Linked DNA regions of Macaca fascicularis. The protein of the gene in region 3 interacts with the protein of the main gene of each other region in a pairwise test. Links are inferred from orthologs where the notes say so. Each region holds a gene or a part of one and is shown on either strand. Other genes may lie near its edges.

What was found.
Region 1: the proteins of ZBTB8A (region 3) and ZBTB48 interact in binary tests that used the Homo sapiens proteins (3 or more experiments, as listed by UniProt). The two-hybrid records come from large-scale screens. The link is inferred for Macaca fascicularis from reciprocal best matches to the Homo sapiens genes ZBTB8A and ZBTB48.
Region 2: the proteins of ZBTB8A (region 3) and TRIM41 interact in binary tests that used the Homo sapiens proteins (3 or more experiments, as listed by UniProt). The two-hybrid records come from large-scale screens. The link is inferred for Macaca fascicularis from reciprocal best matches to the Homo sapiens genes ZBTB8A and TRIM41.
Region 4: the proteins of ZBTB8A (region 3) and DDX6 interact in binary tests that used the Homo sapiens proteins (3 or more experiments, as listed by UniProt). The two-hybrid records come from large-scale screens. The link is inferred for Macaca fascicularis from reciprocal best matches to the Homo sapiens genes ZBTB8A and DDX6.
Region 5: the proteins of ZBTB8A (region 3) and KIF5B interact in binary tests that used the Homo sapiens proteins (3 or more experiments, as listed by UniProt). The two-hybrid records come from large-scale screens. The link is inferred for Macaca fascicularis from reciprocal best matches to the Homo sapiens genes ZBTB8A and KIF5B.
Region 6: the proteins of ZBTB8A (region 3) and ARMCX1 interact in binary tests that used the Homo sapiens proteins (3 or more experiments, as listed by UniProt). The two-hybrid records come from large-scale screens. The link is inferred for Macaca fascicularis from reciprocal best matches to the Homo sapiens genes ZBTB8A and ARMCX1.
Region 7: the proteins of ZBTB8A (region 3) and ZNF276 interact in binary tests that used the Homo sapiens proteins (3 or more experiments, as listed by UniProt). The two-hybrid records come from large-scale screens. The link is inferred for Macaca fascicularis from reciprocal best matches to the Homo sapiens genes ZBTB8A and ZNF276.

Annotation. Positions count from the first base shown.
Region 1 is NC_088375.1:228,293,197-228,297,350, reverse strand, and holds the start of ZBTB48 (zinc finger and BTB domain-containing protein 48), read left to right. Parts: upstream 1-1,267; 5' UTR 1,268-1,374; exon of another isoform or gene 1,375-1,390; intron 1,391-1,780; 5' UTR 1,781-1,849; coding exon 1,850-2,539; intron 2,540-3,343; coding exon 3,344-3,585; intron 3,586-4,154. Other genes in the region: TAS1R1 (taste receptor type 1 member 1), read left to right, coding at 1-821. UniProt on the Homo sapiens protein: Plays a critical role in transcriptional regulation and chromatin remodeling. Acts as a regulator of telomere length. Directly binds the telomeric double-stranded 5'-TTAGGG-3' repeat.
Region 2 is NC_088380.1:188,328,776-188,332,404, forward strand, and holds the end of TRIM41 (E3 ubiquitin-protein ligase TRIM41), read left to right. Parts: intron 1-598; coding exon 599-829; intron 830-1,342; coding exon 1,343-1,365; intron 1,366-1,563; coding exon 1,564-1,691; intron 1,692-2,105; coding exon 2,106-2,707; 3' UTR 2,708-2,865; downstream 2,866-3,629.
Region 3 is NC_088375.1:202,482,084-202,486,439, reverse strand, and holds the start of ZBTB8A (zinc finger and BTB domain-containing protein 8A), read left to right. Parts: upstream 1-1,399; 5' UTR 1,400-1,471; intron 1,472-1,699; exon of another isoform or gene 1,700-1,730; 5' UTR 1,731-1,831; intron 1,832-2,359; exon of another isoform or gene 2,360-2,714; intron 2,715-4,356. UniProt on the Homo sapiens protein: May be involved in transcriptional regulation.
Region 4 is NC_088388.1:117,619,360-117,623,070, reverse strand, and holds part of DDX6 (probable ATP-dependent RNA helicase DDX6), read left to right. Parts: intron 1-80; coding exon 81-209; intron 210-1,755; coding exon 1,756-1,872; intron 1,873-3,023; coding exon 3,024-3,087; intron 3,088-3,711.
Region 5 is NC_088383.1:32,780,752-32,785,239, reverse strand, and holds the start of KIF5B (kinesin-1 heavy chain), read left to right. Parts: upstream 1-1,530; 5' UTR 1,531-1,982; coding exon 1,983-2,108; intron 2,109-4,488. UniProt on the Homo sapiens protein: Microtubule-dependent motor required for normal distribution of mitochondria and lysosomes. Can induce formation of neurite-like membrane protrusions in non-neuronal cells in a ZFYVE27-dependent manner.
Region 6 is NC_088395.1:108,200,983-108,205,223, forward strand, and holds the start of ARMCX1 (armadillo repeat-containing X-linked protein 1), read left to right. Parts: upstream 1-1,231; intron 1,232-1,543; 5' UTR 1,544-1,546; coding exon of another isoform or gene 1,547-1,597; intron 1,598-1,719; coding exon of another isoform or gene 1,720-1,767; intron 1,768-2,144; coding exon of another isoform or gene 2,145-2,209; intron 2,210-3,385; coding exon of another isoform or gene 3,386-3,507; coding exon 3,508-4,241. UniProt on the Homo sapiens protein: Regulates mitochondrial transport during axon regeneration. Increases the proportion of motile mitochondria by recruiting stationary mitochondria into the motile pool. Enhances mitochondria movement and neurite growth in both adult axons and embryonic neurons.
Region 7 is NC_088394.1:85,668,231-85,671,941, forward strand, and holds part of ZNF276 (zinc finger protein 276), read left to right. Parts: intron 1-1,740; coding exon 1,741-1,851; intron 1,852-1,919; coding exon 1,920-1,995; intron 1,996-2,316; coding exon 2,317-2,434; intron 2,435-3,711. UniProt on the Homo sapiens protein: May be involved in transcriptional regulation.

The DNA.
Region 1 (4,154 bases), about 26 Mb from region 3:
TGCTGCTGGCAGCTAACACACTGCTGCTGCTGTTGCTGCTTGGGACTGCTGGCCTGTTTGCCTGGCACCTAGACACCCCTGTGGTGAGGTCAGCAGGGGGCCGCCTGTGCTTTCTTATGCTGGGCTCCCTGGCAGCAGGTAGCGGCAGCCTCTATGGCTTCTTTGGGGAGCCCACGAGGCCTGCATGCTTGCTGCGCCAGGCCCTCTTTGCCCTTGGTTTCACCATCTTCCTGTCCTGCCTGACAGTTCGCTCCTTCCAACTAATCATCATCTTCAAGTTTTCCGCCAAGGCACCTACCTTCTACCGCGTCTGGGTCCAAAACCATGGTGCTGGCCTGTTTGTGATGATCAGCTCAGCGGCTCAGCTGCTTATCTGTCTAACTTGGCTGGTGGTGTGGACTCCACTGCCCACTAGGGAATACCAGCGCTTCCCCCATCTGGTGATGCTTGAGTGCACAGAGGCCAACTCCCTGGGCTTCATACTGGCCTTTCTCTACAATGGCCTTCTCTCCATCAGTGCCTTTGCCTGCAGCTACCTGGGCAAGGACTTGCCAGAGAACTACAACGAGGCCAAATGTGTCACCTTCAGCCTGCTCTTCAACTTCATGTCCTGGATCGCCTTCTTCACCACGGCTAGTGTCTACGACGGCAAGTATCTGCCCGCGGTCAACATGCTGGCTGGGCTGAGCAGCCTGAGCAGCGGCTTCGGCGGGTATTTTCTGCCCAAGTGCTACGTGATCCTCTGCCGCCCAGACCTCAACAGCACAGAGCACTTCCAGGCCTCCATTCAGGACTACACGAGGCACCGCGGCTCCACCTGACCAGTGGGGTCAGCAGGCATAGCTGGTAGCTTTCTCTGTCCTGAGGGTCGAAGGTCAAGCAGGCCAGGGCTGTTTGGGAGGCCTTTGGGCACCTCAGTCTGGGGTTGGGACGTGTAAGCGCCCGGGAGAGCCCAGACCAGGCTCCGGGCTGCCAATAAAGAAGTGAAATGCGTATCTGGTCTCCTGTCGGGGAAGAGGGTGAGGTGCCGCGGATTCAAGTCTGAACCCAGAACCTGGAAAAGGCTTGGTGCCCAGCTTGACGTTGCTAGGCAACCCCGGAGGCGGGCCCAGCGCCAAAAGAACAGGGCGTGGCCTCATCCCCTCATCCCATTGGCCGTTCTCTGCGGGGCCCCGCCCTCGGGTGCCGGAGCTAGAAGATCTACGCTTCCGAGGCGCCCCTCCTGGCCGGCACGCTCTGACGTCACGTCCGGCGCGGAGACGGCTGCGTCTCCGCACGGTCGGCGGGGCACGCATAGCCGGGCAGTTGGTTCGTGGGCTGTGGAGGCGACGGAGCCGGGGGCTGGTGGGGCCAGCTCAGGGAGGACCTGCCTGGGTGAGGAGGGCACGAGGTGAGGGAGGGAGGGGCTGCGGGCCGCCGTGGCTGCCTTCCGCTCGGCCGCTCGGGACCTGTGGGCGCGGCGTGGGCTCCGCTTACCTGTCCGCGGCCGCCGTCCTCCCCAGTCCAGGATCCTCTCACTGTGCCAGGCCAGTCAGTTCGCGCTCATCCCGTGCCTTCTTTCCCCAAACTTGGATTTTTCCCACCAGGCCCTTCTTCATGACCCTGACCCCCCCATCAGCATCCCCCCTGGCCAACCCAATATGGCCCCCGGTCCCCGGGAGGCTGTCAAGTATGTTCCTGCCTTCCGCGTGCACCCCTCACCTTGACCCAAGCCCTCGTGCTGATAAATGTGATTATTTGAGTGGAGGCCAACTTCCCCTTTCTCTCTCTTCGACTCCAGGGGCTTTCTCTTGCATACGCTCGCTTGGGCTGGCCAGGGTGTCACTTCTGCCTCCCTGCCCTCCAGACCATGGACGGCTCCTTCGTCCAGCACAGTGTGAGGGTTCTGCAGGAGCTCAACAAGCAGCGGGAGAAGGGCCAGTACTGCGACGCCACTCTGGACGTTGGGGGCCTGGTGTTTAAGGCGCACTGGAGTGTCCTTGCCTGCTGCAGCCACTTCTTCCAGAGCCTCTACGGGGATGGCTCAGGAGGTAGTGTCGTCCTCCCTGCTGGCTTCGCTGAGATCTTTGGCCTCTTGTTGGACTTTTTCTACACTGGTCACCTCGCTCTCACCTCAGGGAACCGGGATCAGGTGCTCCTGGCAGCCAGGGAGTTGCGAGTGCCAGAGGCCGTAGAGCTGTGCCAGAGCTTCAAGCCCAAAACTTCAGTGGGACAGGCAGCAGGTGGCCAGAGTGGGCTGGGGCCCCCTGCCTCCCAGAATGTGAACAGCCTCCTCAAGGAGCCGGCAGGCTTGCAAGAAGAGGAAGTTTCGAGGACTCTGGGTCTAGTCCCCAGAGATCAGGAGCCCAGAGGCAGTCATAGTCCTCAGAGGCCCCAGCTCCATTCCCCAGCTCAGAGAGAGAGTCCCTCCTCCCTCTGTGGGAAACTCAAGCAGGCCTTGAAGCCTTGTTCCCCCGAGGACAAGGAACCTGAGGACTGCAAAATGCCTCCAAGGCCCTTCGAGGCTGAAGGTGGCCAGCTGCAGGGCGGGAGTAATGAGGTACTGTGCCCAGGGTGCTGGGACTGGGGAGACAAATGGAGGGAATAGACACTTTTTTTGGTATAATAGGGACCCTGGGCTGGGTGTGATGGCTCATTCACGTGAGTGGTTCAAGTGGAGGACGACAGGGATGGACGAAGTCTATTTGTAATCCTAGCACTTTGGGAGGCCAGGGTGGGTGTGGATCACTTGAGCTTGGGAGTTCGAGACCAGCCTGGGCAACATGGCGAGGCCTCATCTGTACAAAGAAAATACAAAAATTAGCCGAGTGTGGTGGCACACACCTGTAATCCTAGCTACTTGGGAGGGTGAGGTGGGAGGATCACTTGAGCCCAGGAAGTGGAGGTTGCAATGAGCTGAGATGGTGCCACTACGCTGTAGCCTAGGCGACAGAGCAAGACCCTGTCTCAAAAAAAAAAAAAGTGGACCTTAAGACAATCTCTGTTAATGTGGGTTTGGAACGGGCTTTCTCCAAACAAAGGAAGCTGGTGATCTCAGGCTGACCTTTCTGCAAGCCCCAGCTATTCATGGTTGCCACCTTCCTGAGAGGAGAGTGGGCAGCATCAGGGTTACAGGTGTTTCCCCAGGATAGTGTTTCCATCCGAGCTTCCAGTTCCCCACAAATACAGTCACTTTCCTCTGAATCCAAGACTCAGATGCTCTGCCTTGGGCCCCTGAAGGAACAGTGTCTGATGAAGGGACTTGTCAGGGTTGGGGCTTGGGATGGAACTGGAGCTGGGTCCCTACAACTCCTGCTGATTCATTTGGTGACCCCACCCCCTCCTGCTGCCTATTGTGCTCTAGTGGGAAGTGGTGGTTCAAGTGGAGGACGACGGGGATGGTGATTACATGTCTGAGCCTGAGGCTGTGCTGACCAGGAGGAAGTCAAATGTAATCCGAAAGGCCTGTGCAGCTGAGCCAGCCCTGAGTGCGGGCTCCCTAGCAGCTGAGCCTGCTGAGAACAGAAAAGGTACAGCGGTGCCGGTCGAATGCCCCACATGTCATAAAAAGTTCCTCAGCAAATATTATCTAAAAGTCCACAACAGGTAAACTTTCTGTTTTTCTATTTTCCTGTCTGCCATTCCCGCGTTGGGGGAGGGGTCTTGCACGTCCCACTTCTGGGTGAGGTAGGGGCTGGGGGATCCATCTCAGACCCACATAGTGCCTGGCCTTGGCACACCTCTGGCAATCAGGAAGTGAGAGTCTGCTTTGGGTTAGATTCTTCTTCCTCACTGTCCTGTGAGTACTGTGGTTGGAGATGGGTTTGTGGACATCTTGTCAACAGGTTCCACCCACTGTGGACCTTGACCTTCAGCTGGCCTCTGCGGACAGAATGAGAAACCTGTGGCCCGTGTGCTAGAGCTGAGGCCCAACCTTAGGTGTTTCTGAAGCCCGGCAGTGTGGGCTTGAAGCCTGGCAGTGTGGGCTTTGGGCCACAATGCTGAGCCTTGGGTCAGTGCTACCTGTGTTTCCAGGGAAGTGTTCACTCTGGGGTGTCAGTGGAGTATTAAAGTCCAGTTGTCTAAACCTTCAGTGTCCAGTAAAGTAACCAGGAACTCCAGGGGCTATTAAAATTTTTATTTTTACATTTAGTGGAGACAAGGTTTTGCTATGT
Region 2 (3,629 bases), on a different chromosome or scaffold from region 3:
ACTGTGTTTAATGGTTTCGGGACCCTAACTTTATGTCTTGATTCTTGTATTCTTTTATTTATTCATTTCAAAAAATTTTTACCAAGTGCCTCTTCTGGTTGGCGCTATGTCAAGGTCCGAGGACACTGTGGCAAACAAAGACATTCCTAGTCCCTGCCAACCGGAGCTTATGGTACAGTGGGGGAAAGATGTTAAAAGATATGTCATTTAAACACAACATTTCAGTGTCGTATGTGCCACAAAGAGATACAGGGAATTTGTGGGGATGGTCCTGATTTAGATCTGGAGAGGAGGGAAGGCTTCTTTTGGAATATTTAAGGTTGGACCTGAAGGATGAGTCAAGGTATGTAGACCAGGTGGAGAGGAGTGTTCCAGGCAGAGGTTAGTGAGTTTGGGGCCACTGTGCTGGGTGCAAGGGGTGGTATCTGGTAAGGCTGAGAAGTAAGGCCGGTAGGAGATGAGCCTCTTTCCAGGACTTTCTTGGACTTGGGGAGTATAGGGCTCCTTTGCCTTGCGTTGAGAAGTGGTAGTTGCAAAACTGGAGGTTATCTTCCTGTGTGTTGAGGTGGTATCTGTCATCCCCTTTGCACCATTCCAGAGCCAGATGAAGTCAGAGCTGGCAGCGGTGGCCTCCGAGTTTGGGCGGCTGACACGGTTTCTGGCTGAAGAGCAGGCAGGGCTGGAACGGCGTCTCCGAGAGATGCATGAAGCCCAGCTGGGGCGTGCGGGAGCTGCGGCCAGTCGCCTTGCAGAGCAGGCTGCCCAGCTCAGCCGCCTGCTGGCCGAGGCCCAGGAGCGGAGCCAGCAGGGGGGTCTCCGGCTGCTTCAGGTGAGCAATGTCCCCTCCCTGTTCCCCCAGCACTCCGTGTTGGCTGTCAGGCAGTGCTTACCAAACACCTGTCCAGAGCTGCCTCTTCTCACTGGGAGGAACCCACAGTGATTGAACCTGAAGACCAAAAACATGTTTTAAAGCTGGAAACAGTTAATGTCGAATGTGGTATGTGTGACGATTATACCAGTGAAAAGCATGAAGATTCGGTTGTAGGAGAGGTTTAAATGACAGTTGAGGAAAGGCTTTTTGACAGTGACATCCTGAAAAAGGTGAGCAGGTCATATTGTGGAAATGACAGGATTGGTGGGCTCACAGCAGGAGAGGCGAGTTAGGCATGGCGAGGCATGGGGTGGTTGAAGTGGATGTGTGTTCACTGAGGCCGTGAGCGTGCTGCCTCTCCCTTCCTGCTTAGGCTCAGTCTCTGACTGGAGATCGGGAAAGCTGTGCCTGTGCAGCTGACGCTCTTTATCTCTTTCTCCCTCTCCCTCTTTTTGTTTCTCTTATTCCCAGGACATCAAGGAGACTTTCAATAGGTGTGTTCCCGCTCTTTGCCCTTTGTGACCCAGTGGCATCTGGTTCCCGTCCCTGCTTCTCTTGGGTATCCCTCTCCTCTCCTTCTTCCCCAGGACCTGAGTTTCCATCTCCTGGACCCTCCTCTCCTTCCCCTCAGCTTTTGCTCTTCCCTCTGGGAATATCATGGTCCCACCCCCTGCCCGGTCCCCTTCCTCCAGGTGTGAAGAGGTACAGCTGCAGCCCCCAGAGGTCTGGTCCCCTGACCCGTGCCAACCCCATAGCCATGACTTCCTGACAGATGCCATCGTGAGGAAAATGAGCCGGATGTTCTGTCAGGCTGCGAGAGGTAGGGAGGTCACCTCCACGACCTTCCTTTGCCTTTCCCTTCACAGACCTGAGACTGGGTCCTGAGGGAAGTTGGGTCCCAGGGAAAGTGTAGGGGTTGAGATGGAGCAGGATACAGGCAGCCACTCAGGTTGAGGTTTCAAGCCATTAACAGGTAGTCCTAGTCCAGGCAGGCCTGGAGGGTGGGGGTGGGGTAGAGTGGCAAGAAGAGCCAGGCTGGGGGAAGACCTGTCAGGTGTCTGAGGAACAAGAGGAGAGAGAGGGAGCCTGTAGGAAGCTGAGGCTGGCCTCTGGGATGGTGTGGGGAGCTGAATTCAGGGAGGAAGCGGGCAGGAAAGGCCCAGTCTGTGGAGTTGGCTGCTGACAGGGGAACAGCCGTTCCAGCCCTGGCGTATTTGTCCTCCCTCCTCCCAAGTGGACCTGACGCTGGACCCTGACACGGCTCACCCGGCCCTGATGCTGTCCCCTGACCGCCGGGGGGTCCGCCTGGCAGAGCGGCGGCAGGAGGTTGCTGACCATCCCAAGCGCTTCTCGGCCGACTGCTGCGTACTGGGGGCCCAGGGCTTCCGCTCTGGCCGGCACTACTGGGAGGTAGAGGTGGGTGGGCGGCGGGGCTGGGCGGTGGGCGCTGCCCGTGAATCCACCCATCATAAGGAAAAGGTGGGCCCTGGGGGTTCCTCCGTGGGCAGCGGGGATGCCAGCTCCTCACGCCACCACCATCGCCGCCGCCGGCTCCACCTGCCCCAGCAGCCTCTGCTCCAGCGGGAGGTGTGGTGCGTGGGCACCAACGGCAAACGCTACCAGGCCCAGAGCTCGACAGAACAGACGCTGCTGAGCCCCAGTGAGAAGCCACGGCGCTTTGGCGTGTACCTGGACTATGAAGCGGGGCGCCTGGGCTTCTACAACGCAGACACTCTGGCCCACGTGCACACCTTCTCGGCTGCCTTCCTGGGCGAGCGTGTCTTTCCTTTCTTCCGGGTGCTCTCCAAGGGCACCCGCATCAAGCTCTGCCCTTGATTATCCTGCCACCCGCGGGGGCCCCTCTGGTCAGCACTTGGGGGGCGGGTGGTGGAGGGTGGCCCGTAAGTTTGAGGGGCTCAAAGGCTCTTCCCACTGTTTGTCACTGTGTTGCTTCCCACTCCCCCTTGACCCCAGGCCCCTGCTTCTCCCTCTAGGAGCCTAAAGAACCCTCCTGGCCTCCAGCCCGGCCTTCTCTCACCTCCTATGTCTGTCCAGCAGGTCTGCATGGGTCCCTGATAATGAGAACAGCTGCCTGGTCTTCTCTCCCAGTCTGCCTAGCCCAGCCCTGGGACCGGAATTTGAGTAGGGGATGAGGGGAAATTGTAATTTCATTCCTTAAGTTCCTTTTCCCCACCCCTGCTCTTCAGCCTCTGTCAGTTCTGAGGCTGGAGGGTTTGGGCAAGACAACATCCCCATTCCAATTCCATCTTCTGATGCAAATTTTAGCTGAGGGATTTGGAAGCCATTTGGGGAGGCAGGCTGGGCCAGAGGGTAGAGCTGGGTAATAAATGTCTATTCTCTGGGGGAGGAGGGATTCTAAACTTTCCTTCCATCCTCAATTTCTACCTCCATAGACCGGCCAGAATTTAGCTTCACTTGAGAGAGATCTGGAATGGTCGCCATGATTGAAACCACGCACCATTACATCGCCCAATAAATTATTTCTTCCCCCGTCCCCTTTCCAGCACTCAACTGAGGAGCAAAGCTCATCCCACCCCCACCCCTCCCAGGTCTGTTCACTGCCAGGCTCCTTTCCCTTGTTCAGTGGAGCTGGCTTTTCTCCCAGCCCCTTTCCATGCCTTTCATTCCATTTGGCAAGCCCTGAGGGGGAGCCTGGGGACGGGTTTGGGTCCCCAAGAGGAGAGCCTTGGGTATAATCTATTTTTCTAGTAACCCCTTGCCTTGTCACATAACAGCT
Region 3 (4,356 bases):
CCGCCCGCCTCGGCCTTCCAAAGTGCTGGGATTACAGGCGTGAGCCACCGCGCCCGGCCAAGCAGTCAGAGTTTAAGAGACTAGCACTGGTTAATGATGGAGCCCCAACATAGAGAAACAAGCTCCCAAAGCTAGCAGAATGAAGATGAGGGACAAAACTGTCATTACCTCTTCCTTGCAACAAAGTTTTTTGTTTGTTTGTTTGTTTGTTTGAGATGGAGTCTTGCTCTGTCACCCATGCTGGAGTGCGGTGGCACGATCTCGGCTCACTGCAACCTCCACCTCCTGGATTCAAGCCATTCTCCTGGTTCAGCTGCCCCAGTAGCTCGGATTACAGGCACGCACCACTATGCCCAGCTACTTTTTATATTTAGTAGAAACAGGGTTGCACCATGTTGGCCAGGCTGGTCTCGAACTCCTGACCTCGTGATCCGCCTGCCTTGGCCTACCAAAGTGCTGAGATTACAGGCGAGAGCCACCGCGCCCGGCCACAACGAAGAGTTTATCACCAACCTGATGTGCTCTCTTGAGGAATAAGTTTGTGGAACTCTTTTGCATTAATCTTTAATTAAGGCTAAAATCAAACCTTTGGCTATAACCATGTCCAGGTCTTTCTGGGGGAATTCTCAATGGGGGGCGCTAGCAGAGTAATCTGAGTACATCCAATATACCTGATACCTAATGGTTTTCAAATATGTTTCTACTTACCTGTTCAGAAGGCAAGGAAACACAACTAAATAGCAAAGCACCTCTGCAGTGACACAGAAGTGACATTAAGAGACAATTGTGAAGATCTTGCATCCTCAAAATGCATAATTATTCCTGAAATCAAAGTTACAGACTGTCCAATATGACTGATTATGAACAGGAGAGGAATCCATTAAAAGCTAAACCCAAGTTTTGATAATTTGAACCTTTTTCCTCCAGTTTTACTATAACACAGTACTTTTCAGTACCTGACCCCAGCATAAGGAACTAGGAAACTAATTTATAGAAGTAATGCTTCTATAGTAACAGTGAAAATCCACTGATTTACTATTTTAGCAAATGTATAATCTGATATCTGTACTCTAAATATTAGAGATGTAAATTTGTCAGAGGAAGCTTGGTATACAATGAATGCTTGTATTGGAAAAGACGGAACTTGCTGTTTTTACTAATTTTGTATTTCTCTGGACTTAAACTAGGAATTATGTTCTCTTAGCTTCTCTGGGTTTTCCTCTTCAAATGAAATGCTTCTGACCTGTAGAGGTTTAGAAAAGGTTATCCTCAACTAAAATAACTGCTTCAATACAAGGGAAAATTCTGTGGAAATCTTTTGCATTTGACGTTGCTAAACTTAAGTACAATAATGTCACATGTACTTATACAGTAATTGTGGGCACGCCTAAGTCCCTCCCTCTTTCCTAAACCAAATTCCCCAGATCCTAGAAATCCAGCCCTTCTGCCCTCCGGAGGCGCCTTTCCCAACGTAAAGTACAATTTTAAATTTCAGCTCCTGACTAAAATCATGATCCGCAGTCAACTGCTAGAGAATCTGGGCACCCCGGTGCCTCTGGAGCGTGCAGCGGGTGTGGGCAAGGGCAGGGGGAGTGGGCGAAGCTGCTGGTTGGTGCCTGAAATCTGTGCGTTGCCCCTTTAATTGTGTCCCCAGCCCTCGGGCGTTTCTGTCCAACGCCCACGTCAGCAAATACCTTTTGTTTCTCTCACGTTGGGGCTACTTGTTTTAGGGCGCAAAGGAACGGCCTCGAAAGGGGGTCCTTCCCCAGCCGAGAACCAAGAATCTTCCCCCGGCCCGCGCGCGCGACCGGCCGGTGCGCCGCGGCCCGCGGTAAGTGGCGGCGCGCGGCGCCGGCGGAGGGCGGGCGGGCGTCGGGGCTGCCCGGGACCCGCCGCGAGCCTGGCCGCGGGCGGAGGCGCCGCGGGCTCTCACGGCCCGGGCGGCGGCGGTGCTGAGATGCGGGCCCTGGGCGCGCCTCCCCAAGACGTCCCCGGGCCGGGAGCGCGGCGGGAGGCGCCGAGGCGAGCGGGCGCCATTTGCAGCCCGGGGCGCAGCGGCGGCGGCGGCGGCGGCGCCGGCTCCGAGGGGCTGTGGGCGGCCACGGAGGACGCGCGGGCGGCGGCGGCGGGCCGAGCCCGGGGCGGCGGCGGGCGTTGGTGGGCACCGGCTCCCGGCCGCCCCTCCCCGCGCCCGGCCGCGCCGCCCAGCCCGCCAGGCCGGCCCCTCCTGCGCGCCCGGGAGGGGCTGCGGGACAATGGCCGCGCCGTCGCCGCCCGCGCCCGCCTAGCCGCCCGGCCCGGCCCGGGGAAAGGCGGGAAGGCGCGCGGAGCCTCCTGGCGGCGGCGGCGGGAAGGCGGCGGGGACGGCGCCGGGCGTGTCTGGAGCCGTCGAGCGCCGCGGACTCCGGAGGGGCTCGGGCTGCGCGGCGCAAAAACGGGCGGCCGCCGGGGGGGCGCGCGAGGAGGGCAGGGCCGGGGCCGGAGCCGGAGCCTCTGCGGGCGCGGCCAGGGGCGCTGCCGGTGAGCCTGGCTCCCAGGGCAGTAGCCCGAATTTCTCGGTACAGCCTCCATCCTTGGTTTTATGTCAAGATGCGACATCGGGGCTTAGAAAACCGAGGGCTAACTCACCGCGCCTAACCAATGTTGAGCTCCAACTATTTGCTTCTGGACGGAACCGTACATGCTCATCTCTACCCATGCTGACCGCCTCTTTTGTGAGTTAGTCAGCGGCTTGTTCCCTTCCCCTTCAGATGCGCTTATTTATCGCTGATTGTTCCAATGGCCCTACTCCACATCATTCTGAGACGCGTTTGGAAGCGGTAGATTTACACACACACCTGGTGGGCTTCTAACCACACGTCAGTATCACTATGCTTGATAAACCTTTATATTTGCACAACTTTAAATGGATTGCTTTCACCTATATGAATTATTTCACTTAATTTCACATAAAACAACCACTTAGGCTGACGGTAATTCCACTTTGCAAATGAGGGAACACGTGTGAAGCATGGCGTTTCACCTCTAGGCCAGGGTGACATAGCCACCCAGGACCTCCTGTTCCCGTCCTGCCTTCCCTCCTAAGGTACCTCCAGAGGAGTCTTTAGAAGGGCCAATCTTACACAGCGCTTCCCTGCACTGAAAACCTTAACTGATCTTTTTCAGGAAAGCCTCCAAAATCCCCAGCAAGCTTCTGCTCCAGTCTTAATCTCCTCCATGCCTCAGGTATGGATGCATTTGTGGACTGGAGCAAGAGCCCCTCACTGATAAGCAGGGATCAGATGTCTTTATTCCTGGGAACCTCTCTGGCCACACAAGTGGCAACTGGGAAGTGAGAATCTGGCTTAGGGCCCTTGACCAAATGGGTGTCTGGGTGGATTGTGCTCAAAAATGTCAGCAGGAGGCATAATGAGTAGGGACTCCAGGAAGGAGGCCAAGCCACTAACCCTTATCTCCAAGCCCTGAAATCACCAGCTTTGCTGTTGATAATGATTTGAGGCCATGAAAAACTTTGTAAGATAGAGTAATATTGATTCATCCTGTATCATTTAAATATAATTTTTAGATACAACTATGTCTAATAGATTTAACTCAGTGACACAATGATATGTTAATCATATTTAAAGGATTTGATGTGTTTGATTCCCTTGAATGAAGCTTTTGTTACTTTTGTGCTCAAAATTGGTCAGTGGTTCCCCATCTTACGCAGTTTAAAAGCCAAAAGCTCCATAATAGTCTATGCAGCCTTACAGCATCTGGTCTCACTATGTCCTACTTCTCTCATGATTTGCTTTCCCTTTCTGACTTCATATCCCATTGCTTCCCCGCTGCTCACCTCAGGGCCTTTGCGCTTGCTTTTCCCTTTGCCTGAAATACTGTTTCCCCAGACACCCACATGACTCTTACTTCCTTTGGACTTTACCCAAATACCATCTTCTCAATGAGGCTTTCCCCAACTATAGTTTTGATTCTCTTAAGTGTTTTTATTCTAAATCTTTTCTGTCTCATGCCATTTGTGCAGCTATAAAAATACTTTGGGACTGGGTAATTACACAGAACAGAAATTTATTTCTCACACTTCTGGAGGCTGGGAAGTCCAGGCAGTTTGGTGCCTAGTGAGGGCTGCTCTTTGCTTCCAAGATGGCACCGCGTTGCTGCATCCTCTGGATGGGAGGACTGCTGTGTCTTCACGTGGCAGAAGGGATAGAAGGGCAAGAGGGGCCAAACTCACTCCGTCAGGTCCTTTTATAAGGGCGTTAATTCCATCCATGAGGGCGGAGCCTTCGTGGCCCAATCACCTCCTAAAGGTGATACTGTTGCAATAGGGATGAGTTGTTTTTTTTTTTTTTTTTTTCT
Region 4 (3,711 bases), on a different chromosome or scaffold from region 3:
ATAGGGTGGGTATATTTTGAATTTGAGATGAACTCTGCTTTCATTTAAGAAGAACCATCTTTTTTTTTCTCCCCTCCCAGAATTCCCATTTGCAGAAACCCTATGAGATTAACCTGATGGAGGAACTAACTCTGAAGGGAGTAACCCAGTACTACGCATATGTAACTGAGCGCCAAAAAGTACACTGCCTCAACACACTTTTCTCCAGGGTAAGAAGTAGGCTTCTGCTGTTGAATATTATCTCTCGAGTCCCAGTAAAACAGATTATTTCATCAGTTTTCCTACCATCTTCACTGTATAAAAGTTCATAGTGTTTCTGGCTTGGCGTGGTAGCTCATGCCTGTAATCCCAGCATTTTGGGAGGCTGAGGCAGGCGGATCACGAGGTCAGGAGTTCGAGACCAGCCTGGCCAACATGGAGAAACCCCGTCTCTACTACAAAAAAACAAAAAAACTAGCTGGGCGTGGTGGTGCGTGCCCATAATCCCAGCTACTTGGGAGGCTGAGGCAGGAGAATTGCTTGAACCCAGGAGGCAGAAGTTGCAGTGAGCCAAGATCACGCCATTGCACTCCAGCTCTGGGCGACAGAGCAAGACTCCATCTCGGGAAGGAAAAAAAAAGTTTTTAAAAAATTCATAGTGTTTCCTAAAAGGCAGTTTTAATTGTTGACCTAAAGTTGATACTAAATGATTAACAAGTCACAGATACACTTTTGAATAGTTTCTGAAATACTTAGACCTTTACTAGGGTTAATACTCATTATTCACATATTCTGTATTTGTGAGTTTGCTTAGTCACTAGAATTTATTTGTAACTCCAGAATTAATACTCAAGGCAGTTTAGCAGTCATTTGTGGACGTGTACAGTGTGGCAAAGAGTTTAAGTCACCTGACACGCACATACCCAGCTGAGGTTGAAGAAGACAATGCTCTGTCCTCTTGTTTAGCTCTCATACTGTGAACAAGTATCCTTTTCACTGTGCCATATTTTTCAAATTTTTGTTGCTGATTTCACGGTTTTAATTGACCCCTACTCATGGTGCTGAAGTGCTGCCCAGTGCTAGTGGCATTGGTTGTGAGTATATTAAAGATGTTCTTGGCTGGGCACGGTGGCTCACACCTGTAATCCCAGCACTTTGGAAAGCTGAGGTGGGCAGACACCTGAGGTCAGGAGTTCGAGACCAGCCTGACCAACATGCTGAAACCCCGTCTCTACTGAAAATACAAAAATTAGCCAGGCATGGTGGTGGGTGCCTGTAATCCCAGCTCCTCAGGAGGCTGAGGCTGGAGAATCCCTTGAACCCAGGAGGTGGAGGTTGCAGTGAGCTAAGATTGTACCATTGCACTCCAGCCTGGGCAACAAGAGTGAAACTCCATTTCTCTCTCTCTCTCTCTCTCTCTCTCTCTCTCTCTCTCTCTCTCTCTCTCACACACACACACACACACACACACACACACACACACACACGTATTCTTAAATGGAAAAACAAAACATAACTACTTGGAATCAGATAATCAATTGTATTACTCTTGTTGACAGTTATGTGGCCCTTAAGAAATATACTCTAATACAATAAATCTTAGATATTATTATATTCCATCTATTAAAGTACTTAGAATTTACCATCTCTCTCATATCATAAGATTCTAAATTTTAGACCATGTTAATGTTTCTTGTTTGCTGGTTAGTGTTTTCAAGATTTGGCAAGCCAAATGAAGGTTTTAATTTTTCTCATACTTATTTTTTCTGTGCTCAGCTTCAGATAAACCAGTCGATCATTTTCTGTAACTCCTCTCAGCGAGTTGAATTACTAGCCAAGAAGATTTCTCAACTGGGTTATTCTTGCTTCTATATTCATGCTAAAATGAGGCAGGTGAGTATAAAACTAGAACTTGCACAAATTTAACAAGAAATCTCTGATTTTATTTTGTTTTAATGTTCTTTTAAATGTCCTGAGTTTAAGAATAAACTGTTCCTTAGTAGCCAAAGGACCTTTCATTTTGACCTACCTAAGGTTCATTTTCTAGCAATAAAATAGAGATAATAGTACATATTCATAACTTACAAGGTAGTTAGGAAAATTAAGGTAAATGTTTAAATTTGTAAGCTGTCAGGCATAATACAAATGTAAAATTGTATTCTTCCTTTCATTCCCATGTTTAATTCTCTGTTTAATCCAGTAACCACTAGCCACATGTGGCCATTTAAATCAGTTAAAATTAAAATAAGGCCGGGCGTGGTGGCTCAAGCCTGTAATCCCAGCACTTTGGGAGGCCGAGACGGGCGGATCACGAGGTCAGAAGATCGAGACCATCCTGGCTAACACAATGAAACCCCGTCTCTACTAAAAATACAAAAAAATTAGCCGGGCGAGGTGGTGGGCGCCTGTAGTCCCAGCTACTCGGGAGGCTGAGGCAGGAGAATGGCGTAAACCCGGGAGGCGGAGCTTGCAGTGAGCCGAGATAGCGCCACTGCACTCCAGCCTGGGCGACAGAGCGAGACTCTGTCTCAAAAAAAAAAAAAAAAAAATTAAAATAAAAAGTCAGTTTCTCAATCACAGCCACGTTTCAAGTGCTCAGTTAGGCACCTGTTGCTGCTGGATACTGTATTGGAAGTGGAAGTACAGACACAAACATTTCCTTTATTACAGAAATTTCTACTGGACAGCATTGCTCTGGATTTTTAAATATGGCCCCTCAGCTAGCTGATTTTTCTTTTTTCTTTACTGTTTGCCTTTAGAGAAAGATGCAATGTCTAAATTTCAGAATTTGATTTAGCAAAAAATAATTTAAAACTTAACAAAATGACTTTTTGTTAACTACATTATGAAATTTCGTAAGTAAACAGTTTCTGTAGATGAAGAGATCAATAACTTAACTCATATTTGGTTTTGAAAGCAGCTTAATGTCATGGATCACTTATAAACAGGTTTTGGGTAGAACCGATCGACTAGGAGAAATAATCATGGGAAATTTGGGGCTGTATATGAGTGCTAATCAAATGGAATAAATTGCTTTCTCCTAGGAACATCGAAATCGTGTATTTCATGATTTCCGAAATGGCTTATGCCGCAATCTTGTTTGCACTGGTAAGTATTTTTGTATTTCCTTTACCCAGTGTTTTTCTCCCAAGTTCTTTTTTGCTTTCTTTGTTCATACTGCACGGTGCACCCTGTGACATAGTCCAGCACACCCTACCAATACTTCTAGGATTTCTTTTTTTTTTTTTTTTTGGTGGGGGGGGTGGATGGAGTTTGTGTCACCCAGACTGGAGTGCAGTGGCATAATCTCAGCTCACTGAAACTTCCACCACCTGGGTTCAAGTGATTCTCCTGCCTCAGCCTCCCAAGTAGCTGGGATTGTGGGCACCCGCTGCCACACTCAGCTAATTTTTGGTAGAGATGGGGGTTTCACCATGTTGGCCAGGCTGGTCTTGAACTCCTGACCTCAGGTGATCCGCCTGCCTCGGCCTCCCAAAGTGCTGGGATTACAGGTGTGAGCCACCGCGTCCAACAGTTGGGCTTTTAAAAATCATTACTTGCTTGCAAGGTTTCTTCAGATAAGTTCTTGAAGGACCAATACTGAAGGGCATATATAAAATACCACCCCTTTGGGGGAGTGTGGTTTAATTGGAGAGATAAAAAGGTAAACATTAGGAGTCTAAGGAAGCGCCCACATACTTTTCCTATGAAGTGCCAAATAGTAAATTTTTT
Region 5 (4,488 bases), on a different chromosome or scaffold from region 3:
TCAAGTGATTCTCCTGCCTCAGCCTCCCGAATAGCTGGGATTACAGGCATGCACCATCATGCCCAGCTGCTTTTGTATTTTTAGTAGAGACAGGGTTTCTCCATGTTGGTCAGGCTGCTCTCAAACTCCCGACCTCAGGTAACCCGCCTGCCTCAGCCTCCCAAAGTGCTGGGATTACAGGCGTGAGCCACCACCCCTGGCCAGATCTGATGTTAATGCCTTTACTTGCAGCTCTGCCTTGCTTGGGGCCTCTCAAAACACTGCTTCATTGAAATGTTATCAGAACTCCACACCTCCCAGAAAGCCCCGGGTTAATTCCATCTATTCTTTTGTTTGGTGAGATGCTCTAAGGTTCCTTGAGCTTGAGCTCTTCTTCAAGGCAGTGGATTAATAAACCTGAATCTGTTGAACTCTGAATTGGTTTCTGGAGGTATTAGGATGATTGGGTGAGCACAGGGAGCCCTGGAGGTTTTCATAGTTCAATCCTTCGTTTTACAAACAGAAATTGGGGACCGGGGGAGGAGGTGTTACTGCAGTTCTTCCGCAGCACCTCAGAGCCACTTCCTCAGATCCACTTCCCCGTGGAATTTTTTGGTACTCATCTTCTAAAACTAGAAGGCAAAATCAGCTATGGAGTGGTTTTCCTTGGATATGTAATGCACAAATTTACCTAGGCCTTTTATAAAGACCATCTTTATGCTCCAGGTCAGTCATTCCTCCAGTATTGGGATTGATGAGTTCCGTATGTTCATTGCCGGCGAAGTGGCGGGAATTCGCTGAACTGCGTGGGGGCGGCGAGGGTGCGGGCTGGATACAAGGCACTGGGCAGATGAAGTGACAGAGATGCTGTGTGAGGGGGGCTGAGGGCGCTTCCCCCTCCTCACCCTGCTGTTCCACATTTCTTCAGCAACCTTCTTCATTCCTCAGGAAAATTTTCCTTTTTCTTTCTTATTCCTGTCTCCCTACATCCCACTCTCAGGAAAGAGTTACCCTTCATTGAAATCTTACTTTTTCTGGCAATGCGCTCTAAAAAGGTAGACCAGGAATGATTCCCGCCGCCAGAAAAAAATGAAAGCAACACTTCCTTTTAGGAATATAGTACTTTATGTTTTTAATTTTAAAGCTGGTCAAGTGACACAGCGGGAGTGGAGAAGAAACAAATCTCTGGCTGTCATCAACTAGTTGCAAACACCACCGCACCCGGACCAGCCTAGTGATTTATTTAAACAAACCACATTAAGTAGTTAAAGCAAACCCTTTCTCCCCCAAAGAAAAGAAAGCTAAGTACGTCTGCCTTAGCTCTGGGGGATTCTTCGGCGGCTGGGGATGGCGACTGGGAGCTGCCGCCCTGCGTCCCCAGGCACTTCTGCGAGACGGTCAGTGCTGTAAAATTTGAATCTGCGACTCCTGGCCAGGAGTGGTGGCGGAACCGGCGGCGCGGCAGCAGCGACCGGCTGCGAGCTCGGGCACGGATTGGTCGCCGTGCCTCCCGGCCCACCGCGCCGGCGCACTCCTCCACCCGCGCCGCCCAGTCGCCCAACGGCGGCCTCAAGAGTGATAGGGCAGCAGCCGGCCAGCCGGCCAGCGGACAGCGGAGCGGAGCGGGCGGACGGGTAGGCCCGATCTGCTCTTTGCGAGGAGGAAGAAGGTGGCCACTCTCCCGGCCCCCAGAACCTCCCCAGCCTCCGCAGCACGCCCAGGCCGTCGAGGGCGTCGCTGAGGAGCCGCCGACGCTCTCCCCGGTGCCGCCGCCGCCATGGCTGCCATGATGGATCGGAAGTGAGCCTTAGGGTAACGGCTGCCGGCGCCGGCTCTTCGAGTCCCGGCTCCCCGGCCGCCTCCGCCCGGGGAAGCGCTGCGCTGCGCAGCTGACTGCTGCCTCTCACGGCCCTAGCGACCCCAGGCCCTTAGCCCCGTCGCGCTCCCCGCAAGACTAAGCAGCCGGGAGTGGCTCCCGGCCGCCGGCCCCGGCTGCGAGAAAGATGGCGGACCTGGCCGAGTGCAACATCAAAGTGATGTGTCGCTTCAGACCTCTCAACGAGTCTGAGGTGAACCGCGGCGACAAGTACGTCGCCAAGTTTCAGGGAGAAGACACGGTCGTGATCGCGGTGAGTGACCCCCTCCGGCACCCCTCCTTCCGCTTCTTCGGGCCGGGCTGTGCAGAGAGTTTAGGGAAGTGGCAGGGTGCAGAATTGAAAGGGAGCAGCGGTGTCCCCAGCAATCCCCGGCGGGGTTTGCCGGTTCAGATAACCCAGTGGAGGAAGACTGCGCAGCTTCGCGTGCGTTCCGGGATCGCCCCCACCCCGGTCTTTGGCGCCGGGAGACGGGAGGCGCCCAGCCTCAGCCCTGGACACTCCCCCACCTGCGGCAACGGAGGAACGTCCGGGGAGCAATTTCAGTGCACGTTTGTCTGCGTTTCTGTGTGTGCAATTACGGATATTGGTGTTTTGGATTAACCCCAAATTTGCCATTCAGAAAATATGTAATGCTTATATAAAGTTCAGCTGGGGACATTGAGCTGTGAGACAAGCCGTATTATGCTTTAGTAAAGATACTTAGTTTTATAGAAACATAACCAGTCCTTGAACCGTGTTGTTTCCCCCTGGGAGAAGGAAAAAGCACCAAACAGCTACAAATATTATGTACACCTCAAACTTTCACCCACCACTTTTTGAGTGGTGAATGACTTTTCATGTTAACAATTACAAATGGTAAATGGATGATTGTAGAAAGAAATAGTTGAGCTTTTTTTTTTTTTTTTAATAAATCGGAATGATCAATTTTGTTTAATCTAGCAGACCTAGCCGACTTTGGTTGAGTCAGATAAGTGCTCCGAAAGACAAATCGCACTCTTGCTAGGTTTTATGGGATAACAGCCTAGGAAAAAGTATCAGCTTTTTGTTTTTATATCAAAGTATTATAAAAACAAGCTTATAAAAAAGATAAAAATTGACCAGTATTAGATTCATACTTCTGCAATTAAGGTCTATCTTGAAGAAAATTGATCTTTGGTAATCCCAAGAATAGTGAGATACTGTTTTTTTGTAATGTAAAACATAACTAGAGTTGAGTGATCATTTGAGACCAAAATGTGAGGGTGTTTTAAGGTCTGATCTCTGGCATTGAAAGGTCTGAGAAAATAGCACTCCTAGTTGAAGGAGATTAAAAATTAATTGTAAAGTATGGCATACGAAACAGTGAACTGTGACTAAATTATGTTCATCTTTCTTGGCAATGCTATGTAGTAGAACTAACTTTCTACATTGTTACCGTAGTATGAAATTTTAATATGTTAATTTTTCCTCTAATGTCATTCTGTAGTTAATAATTGTATGGGGCTATTTAATTTGGAAATAGGGCAGAGGTCACAGGAGATGGGACAAGGATGATTGAAAGCATTGACACTGAAGACAGACTAAAGTTCTTTAGGGTTTTGATGTGAAAGTTTCTCCAAAGTTCAGCTCCGAAAAATGAATGTCTTAGCTCCTTGGTAGGCCTTTGGCAAACAAGTCATTAGGCCACTAACAACTGCCAACTATTACTGTGTAAAGATTGTCAGGCCAGTTCTTTGTTAACAAGTGCACAAGAAAACCTCTTGTGTAAATGACATCATAGGTTGGCAGAGGCGGAGTAGGAGTAGTTAAGCGCAGTAATCCTTTTCCTTTAGGATGGTATATTTTACATATAGTCTGGAGGCTTGCAAGGCCTAGATTAGTTGTCACACTTGAGGCCATTAGTTTCTTAAGAGTTTTTGTAATTTACAGTACTCAGCTTCAGCAGTGGTTGGCACATAACAAACCTATTTTTCCTTTTACACTTGTCTTAAGAATGTCTTATTTCTTCAGATTTTGTGTTTACACAGATCTGTAGTTATCACTATGATTCTTTTTGTTGGAATGCTAAAATTTAGGATTCATAAAATGTATTAAGATTAGAAGGTAACCTTTGATGAGGCCCAGATATGACATAAACTATGAAGAAAGAACTAAAGGAAAATGAATAAAGGAAACATACATTTATTCTAGGTTTCCATTGGGAAAAAGTTGCTTATAAGTTCTGTTTCAAAATTTCAGTACTCTATATAAACGGTAATATTAGGAATAAATGTATAGGTTGTTGGTTTGTGAATCCATAATGAACAGTTAACCTTTAGGTAAACTGATAAGCATTTTAGTTGTTTTTTGGTTGGTTGATTTTTTTTTTGAGATTTTTTTGAGTTGAGTTTTGCTCTTGTTGCCCAGGCTGGAGTGCAGTGGGGTGATGTCAGCACACTGCAACCTCCGCCTCCCAAGTTCAAGCGACTCTACTGCTTCAGCTGCCTGATTAGCTGGGATTACAGGCACGTGCCACCACGCCCAGCTAATTTTTGTATTTTTAGCAGAGATGGGTTTCACCATGTTGGCCAGGGTGGTCTAGAACTCCTGACCTCAGGTGATCCACGTGCCTCGGCCTCCCAAAGTGCTGGGATCACAGGTGTGGGCCACTGTG
Region 6 (4,241 bases), on a different chromosome or scaffold from region 3:
CATGTAAAAAATCCATTTTTTTTTTTTCTTTTTTTTTTTTTTTTTTTTTTTTTTTTTTTTTTTTTTTGAGACGGAGTCTCGCTCTGTCGCCCAGGCTGGAGTGCAGTGGCCGGGTCTCAGCTCACTGCAAGCTCCGCCTCCCGGGTTCACGCCATTCTCCTGCCTCAGCCTCCGGAGTAGCTGGGACTACAGGCGCCCGCCACCTCGCCCGGCTAGTTTTTTGTATTTTTAGTAGAGACGGGGTTTCACCATGTTAGCCAGGATGGTCTCGATCTCCTGACCTTGTGATCCGCCCATCTCGGCCTCCCAAAGTGCTGGGATTACAGGCTTGAGCCACCGCGCCCGGCCATTTTTTTTTTTTTCTTAAGAGATAGAGGCTTGCTCTCTGTCACCCAGGCTGGAGTGCAGTGGTGAGATCATAGCTCACTGCAGCCTTAAACTCCTGGGCTCCAGCAATCCACCCACCTCAGCCCGCTTTTCAATTTTAAAAATGAGTTATTTTGTTTTAAAAGCTACTATTTGGCTGTAACCAGTAGAAATATTTTCCTTCTGTTACAAATAAAATAACGAAATTAATGAGGCCTTTTGGGTTTTCTCTCCCGTTTAAACTCTCCACTCAAAGGAAGATAGCATCATTTTATTTCCTCAATATAAAAGTAATGCATTACTGATTTAAAAACAAATGAGCAGAAAAGTTTAAATAAGACACTCCCACGATCTGTCTCCTTTTCCAACACCTTGCTCCACATTTTACAGTGGTGCAGAAGAAATATTGGACATTCATGACTGGTGGTGGGGGGAGGTATAGAGAGAGACAGTTGGACTGAGACGAGAGAAGATAAAAAATTATTCCTCGAAGAGGAAGAAAAGGCCAACGGACACGGGAGCAGATACAGCCTCTCCCTGTAAGCCAAAGAAAGGCAAATTCCAACCACAAACGGAAGCTACTTCTGGTCTCCGGGATTGGCAAAGAGGAAAATGAGTGGCAGGACCTGATGTGTCAGGGAAGGAAGGGGAGGGCCGGCTTCTGCGGCACTGCTGATGGGAGTGGTAATTGGGGTCCTGATCTCACGGTTGACGTGGCCCTCACGTGAGCTGGAGCCGACGCGTGCAGACGTCCTTCTAATCTTAGTCTTCGTTTGGTCCGGTTGCACTCTCCCTATTGCCCAGAGGGCGAGAGGGCCTGTGGCCTGGGGGAAGGAGGACGAGGTTACTGCCTGGATCCCAGCAGGTTTGTGTGTGGATGGGCGTTGCCAGGGGATCCCTGCGGCGCGGGCAGTGAAGGGTGGAGGCCGAAGGGGGAGCAGTTCGCTTTCTCCAAACCCTTGCAGTATTCCTGTCCCTTTCTAGAACAAAAATGGTGGACCTTGGGGCCGGATTCCAGGGGCGACCCCAGACTCGGGCGTGGTGGGACCTTTAACATCCAGGGCCTTGAATCAGGGAGGGCAGATATTCGGATTCGTATCCTGTGTGCTGGTCCATCTACCAAGCCAGAATCTTGGGGCTGTGCGTCTGTCTGACAGTCATTCCCCTTTTCTTTCAGTAGGGCGCTGTGCCATTTGGGAACAAAGGAATAGTCTGCCTGGAATCCCTGCAGGTCAGTGTAAAGCTGGGGCTGTCCCGCGGCCCCCGGAAGGACTGGGATGACTGAGGTCCTTGCCTTAACTTGGGCCCTTTACCGACTCTCAAGCAATCTTCCTGCCATTTTTTTTCCTTTAGGAAAAAAGGATGTAACAGTGCCTGCAGGAAAAGTGCTTGTCATTGCGGGTAGGGTGCATTGGGGAGAGGGATAGAAGAGATCGGTTGGTTTTGTTTTCCTCCTCGTGTTTTCCATATTCCCCCCTCGCCCCGCCCCGCCCCGCTTCCAGTGGTTTGAAAGGGGTGTGGTTTTTGCTGGGAAAATGGCCGACCGCTGGGGCTGCGGGAGGGAGGGCCGGAGGCGGGGACCGGGGGTGGGGGAACACTACGTAGCGGGAGGGCTGGTGTCAGCCGAGTCCAGAGAAGTGAGGGTAGGGTGACAGACAAAAAGGTAAACTCCGTTGACAGCCAGGACCCTGAATTAGGAAAAGCGGATGTTGGGACTCTCCGAAGTGCTTTTCTGTCCGCTGAGCCATCAGTTTCTGCCTTGTTGCTTGTGTCTGCAGATCTTGGGGCCAGAGGCCAGTCCAACCCTTGGAGCAGGAAGAAACGCAAAGTTGTCAAGAACCAAGTAGGTCATAATAAGGGTGATGGCATTATTTGGGGGTGGAGCATGGTGGCGACTGCAACTCGAGTGGGCCCGTGGACCCCCTCCACATCTCCCTTCTTCCCTTCTTCCCTACACAATTTCGGATCTTGCAAAATAAATTGCTCTGCAGGTACAAGACAGGGAAGCAAATAGCTGAGAAGGGGTGGGCGTCAAGAGAGTCCAGGGGTTGGGAGGACGTTACTCCAAATTACTGTTTGAGGTACAGTGTCCTTGGTGTTGGTCCGTCGACCAAGCACTCACTTCTGAAGTTTGTTAGTCTTGAAGGTTTAGTGGAAGCAGAAACTGAGGTAAGGGAGGTAAGAAATTGCTCCCGAGCAGAGGTAGTTGGTATAACGACACGGCGGGGGTGGGAGGTGAGTGGGGGTGTCCTGGTACCTTTGAGATGGAGGAGTTGGCGGAGGCAAGGACAGAGTTGGAGACCTTTACGCATTTCACGCCAGTCCGGCTTTTAGATATTCTCACTTCATTTTGTTACAAGGAAAATGTTAACAATGAAAATGTGTGGCGACATCTTCGGAGGATGCCAATGATAAGAGTAGGGGTGGAGGTGGAATGGAGGGTTAGAGGAATCATCGAAGGAGGAAGAGGGAGGGAGACAATGAATTCCAAAGCCGCACCTCGGTGAGGAGTGGAGGGCAACCGAAGGCGGGAAACATCGGGCAAGGCAGTTGTAAAGGGCTAGGAATTCAGAAGAGGGATGTATGTCCCGTCCTGGGTGATATCTGTATGTCCCCCTAGCTCTCGGCACCCCCTCCTCGCGTCCTTGTCTGCAGGTTTGCACGAAGCAGTGCCCTTGGAAGCAAGAAAGAGAAGGAAAAAACTGCCTGGACCTCTGTGGGTGCATGTGGGGGCGCCACTGTTCCCAGGACATCTGAAGGGCAGGATGGCAGGGAACTTTAACATTCTGGGGCGACGTGGTGGAACGTGAGGTTGGAGAGTCTTGAAGTGGGGAAAATTTCCAAACTTAGCTTCCGGATGGAAGAAAGGAATCAGTGATCTAGATATTAAGCCCCGAGTTTGCCAATATATCTGTATTTTTGTACGTTTGTTTGTCTTGCCGTTGTTTCAGTCTGTTTGCGTGGCAAAGACACAAAAGGAGGAGGAGCCTGAAATCTGAACTGCATCCTTTTTTCCTAGGTCAAGCTGCCTCAGAGCCGGCCAGCAGTAGCTGCAGACTCCGCCCGCGACGTGTTCGCGCTTCTCTGGGCCAGAGCGAGCCTGTTCTGTGCTCCGGTTAAGAGATTTGTCCCGGCTATACCATGGGCCGCACTCGGGAAGCTGGCTGCGTGGCCGCTGGTGTGGTTATCGGGGCTGGTGCCTGCTACTGTGTATACAGACTGGCCTGGGGAAGAGACGAGAACGAGAAAATCTGGGATGAAGACGAGGAGTCTACGGACACCTCAGAGACTGGGGTTGAGACTGTGAAAGGAGCTAAAACTAACGTTGGGGCAGGGTCTGGGGCCAAACTTCAGGGTGATTCAAAGGTCAAGCCTGAGGTGAGTTTGGGACTCGAGGATTGTCCAGGTGTAAAAGAGAAGGCCCATTCAGGATCCCACAGTGGAGGTGGCCTAGAGGCCAAGGCCAAGGCCCTTTTCAACACGCTGAAGGAACAGGCAAGTGCAAAGGCAGGCAAAGGGGCTAGGGTGGGTACCATCTCTGGGAACAGGACCCTTGCACCGAGTTTACCCTGCCCAGGAGGCAGGGGTGGAGGCTGCCACCCTACCAGGAGTGGATCTAGGGCTGGGAGCAGGGCAAGTGGAAAATCCAAGGGAAAGGCCCGAAGTAAGAGCACCAGGGCTCCAGCTACAACATGGCCTGTCCGCCGAGGCAAGTTCAACTTTCCTTATAAAATTGATGATATTCTGAGTGCTCCCGATCTTCAAAAGGTCCTCAACATACTGGAGCGAACAAATGATCCTTTTATTCAAGAAGTAGCCTTGGTCACTCTGGGTAACAATGCAGCATATTCATTTAACCAGAATGCCATACGTGA
Region 7 (3,711 bases), on a different chromosome or scaffold from region 3:
GGCAGTTAGCGATGGGATTACAGACGTGAGCCCCTGCGCCCAGCCTCAGTGCACTCGTTAAAGAGAAGGGCAGTTAGCGATGGGATTACAGGCGTGAGCCCCGCGCCCAGCCTCAGTGCACTCTAAAGAGAAGGGCAGTTAGCGATGGGATTACAGACGTGAGCCCCTGCGCCCAGCCTCAGTGCACTCGTTAAAGAGAAGGGCAGTTAGCGATGGGATCACAGGCGTGAGCCCCGCGCCCAGCCTCAGTGCACTCGTTAAAGAGAAGGGCAGTTAGCGATGGGATTACAGACGTGAGCCCCGCGCCCAGCCTCAGTGCACTCTAAAGAGAAGGGCAGTTAGCGATGGGATTACAGACGTGAGCCCCTGCGCCCAGCCTCAGTGCACTCGTTAAAGAGAAGGGCAGTTAGCGATGGGATTACAGGCGTGAGCCCCTGCGCCCAGCCTCAGTGCACTCTTTAAAGAGAAGGGCAGTTAGCGACAGGGTCTCATGCTCTTGCCCAGGCTGGGGTGCATTGGTACGATCATGGCTGATGGCAGCCTTGTGCGCTCAAGCGAGCCTCTCACCTCAGCCTCCCAGAGTGCTGGGATTGCCAGTGTGAGCCACTGGACTCGGCAGCTTAAATTACTTTTTTCATGCTTTTGCATATGGATTTTTCTTTTAATTTCCTTTTTGGATTGTTCATTGATAATACAAAGAAACATAAATGGGTTTTGTGTATGGATTTTACACTCTGCAGCTTTGCTGAAATCATTTATTCGGGTTTTTGTGTATGTGGAGCTTTAGGGTTTTCTACATACAAGGTCATGTCATTTGTGAACAGGGAGAATTTTTGTTTTCCTTGCCCAGTTACTCTGGCCAGGGCCTCCAGTGCTGTGCTGAGAACAGTGGTGAGAGAACCCGTGTCTTTTCCTCATCCTGGAGGAAGAGCTTTCAGTCTTTCACGATCGAGTGTGGCATGTGCTGTGGGTTTCACGTCGAAGCTTTATCGTGGTGAAGTTCCCTTCTTCTCCTGAGGGATTTCCTTCCCTATCCTTACTGGATCCAAAAAGGAACCACAATAGACATACACTGGACGCTGCTGCATTTGCTGGTCCCTCAGGGACTTGCCAGACCAACTAAAATGCGCAACCCCAAAGTTCTGGAGGACAAGGTCTCCTGCCCACCATGGTCCCAGTCAGCAGCTCCAGGAACACAGGCTGGGCTCCCTGCAGCGGGGGCAGGGCTGAGGAATGCGGGAGTGGCAGCTGCTCACCTTGTGCTTCCGGGGGAAACAGCACCTGTTCCTCCAAAGCCCGGGCTGGGGCTTGAGCTTGGAATCAAGCTGTCCTGGTTTCAGCGAGTGGATTCTGAGCGTTTTCCTAGCGTTTAAGGTCATTTTGATGAAGGGGTAGCCCCTTTGTTCTGCCATCTTTCCTGATATCTCCAGTGTTGGGTTTCATGTGTAGCACAGGATGAAGCTTCAGTTCTCAGAACTCACCCCTGCTGTGCCTGCGCCTTGCCCTCTGCTGTGTTTGCCTCTGACCCTGCTGTGCCCTGCGCCCTCGCCCTCTGTTGTGTTCACCTGAGGCCTCCTGTCCAGAGTTGCTCTGGCTGTGGTGGCTTCAGGTAGATTTTGAGGGTCAGTCAGCACAGAAGCAACTCAGGGAAGCTTCAAAAACATGTCTCCTGTTAAAGACAAGAAATCTTTTTCAGATGGAGATCAGAAACCACTGAATCTGGGAACCTCTTTTTTTCAGGGTCTCTGGTAAGAAGAGTGAAAGCAAGGAAGCCAAGAAGTCTGAAGAACCAAGAATTCGGAAGAAGCCAGGACCCAAGCCGGGATGGAAGAAGAAGCTTCGTTGTGAGAGGTGAGGCCTGGAGCTCGAGGCTCGCCCTGCCTGTCGGGGCCGGGCTCCATGCGTGCTCTTTGTTGCAGGGAGGAGCTTCCCACCATCTACAAGTGTCCTTACCAGGGCTGCACAGCCGTGTACCGAGGTGCTGACGGCATGAAGGTGAGCACGGGCTGTGCCGGACCAGGCCCCGCAGCTGTCCCTGTGAGCCTGGGGCCGGCACCAGGTGTTTCCGCAGAGCCTGACGCAGACTTGTGCCCAAGGTGACTGGGGACCTGGGGTAGATGTGGGGCCAGACTTTCACTTGAGACACCCCCTGGGGGTCTAGAAGTGTCTTGGAGTGAAGCTGTGGAGGAACCAGTGGTGGAGCTGGAGGAGCTGGATCTGCCTTCCTTCCAGGGGCGTCAGCTGCCACCCGCCGAGGGTCCGTGCCGCTCGGCCCGGGTGAGGCTCTGCGGGTCTCTCACTGAGTTTCTCCTGCAGAAGCACATCAAGGAGCACCACGAGGAGGTCCGGGAGCGGCCCTGCCCCCACCCTGGCTGCAACAAGGTTTTCATGATCGACCGCTACCTGCAGCGGCACGTGAAGCTCATCCACACAGGTACTGCCGTCGTCAGCGTCACCCGCGTGGTGACAGCCAGGGGCACGTGACCTGCTTTCCCATCTTCCTGATACCCATCCCCACCCCAGGAGTTGGGGATCGCGTGCAGGTGGCTGATGGGGCCTCGGGTACTCACAGTCATGTAGGTGGATGAAGGCTAGAGTAGGGCATCAGTGTGAATCTGCCCTTCCCTGTGATGGGAGGAATTCCTGACTTCCCCAGGATCTAGGCAGTTTGTCAAAACCGAGAGCCAAGCAATCTTGGTGTCCCTTTGCAAATTGGTCACTTTAGTTTTTAATTTTTTCTGAGATGAAGTCTTGCTCTGTTGCCCAGGCTGGAGTGCAGTGGCACCATCTTGGCTCACCACAACTTCCGCCTCCCGGGTTCAAGTGACTCTTCTGCCTCAGCCTCCCGAGTAGCTGGGATTATAGGCACCTGCAACCACACCTGCTAATTTTTGTAATTTTTGGCAGAGACAGGGTTTCACCATGTTGGCCAAGCCAATCTCTTAACTCCTGACCTCAAGTGATCCACCTACCTTGGCCTCCCAAAGTCCGGAGATTATAGGTGTGAGCACCACACCTGGCCCAAACGAGTGTCTCTTAAAAGGGAAGGCGGGAGGTGGAAGGCATGAAGGCACGCCGACTCTGGGGCGCTGCCCGCGTGGACAGGCGGGAGGCATGTGTGGTTCTGCTGCTTCACGTGTGTGTAGCTCATCTCACTGAGACCGGAGGTGGATGGGGGAGTTGTGACTGAGGGTGCTGTCTCTGTGCCCGTCTTATTTTTCACAATTCCTATAATGTATAAGTTACTTTTATAATCTAACAAGGATATGTTTTCAAAATGACAAACTTGGCTGGGCACGGTGGCTCTCACTGTAATCCCAGCACTTTGGGAGGCCAAGGTGGGTGGATCACCTTGAGGTCAGCAGTTCGAGACCAGCCTGGCCAACGTGGTAAAACGCCATCTTTACTAAAAATGCAAAAATTAGCTGGGCGTGGTGGCGCATGCCTGTAGGCACAGCTACTTGGGAAGCTGAGGTGGGAGAACTGCTTGAACCCAGGAGGTGGAGGTTGCAATGAGCTGAGATCACACCACTGCACTCCAGCCTGGGCAACAGGGAGACACTGTCTCAAAAAAAAAAAAAAAAAATTTGTTTGAACCATGTGGACCCACGTATACGAGGTCAGGGACTCGAATCCCTGGTATTCAGAGGGCTGCCTTTTCATAAGTGCAGGTTCTGTAGGGTCTCTGCAGGGCTAACTTTGGGACTTGAG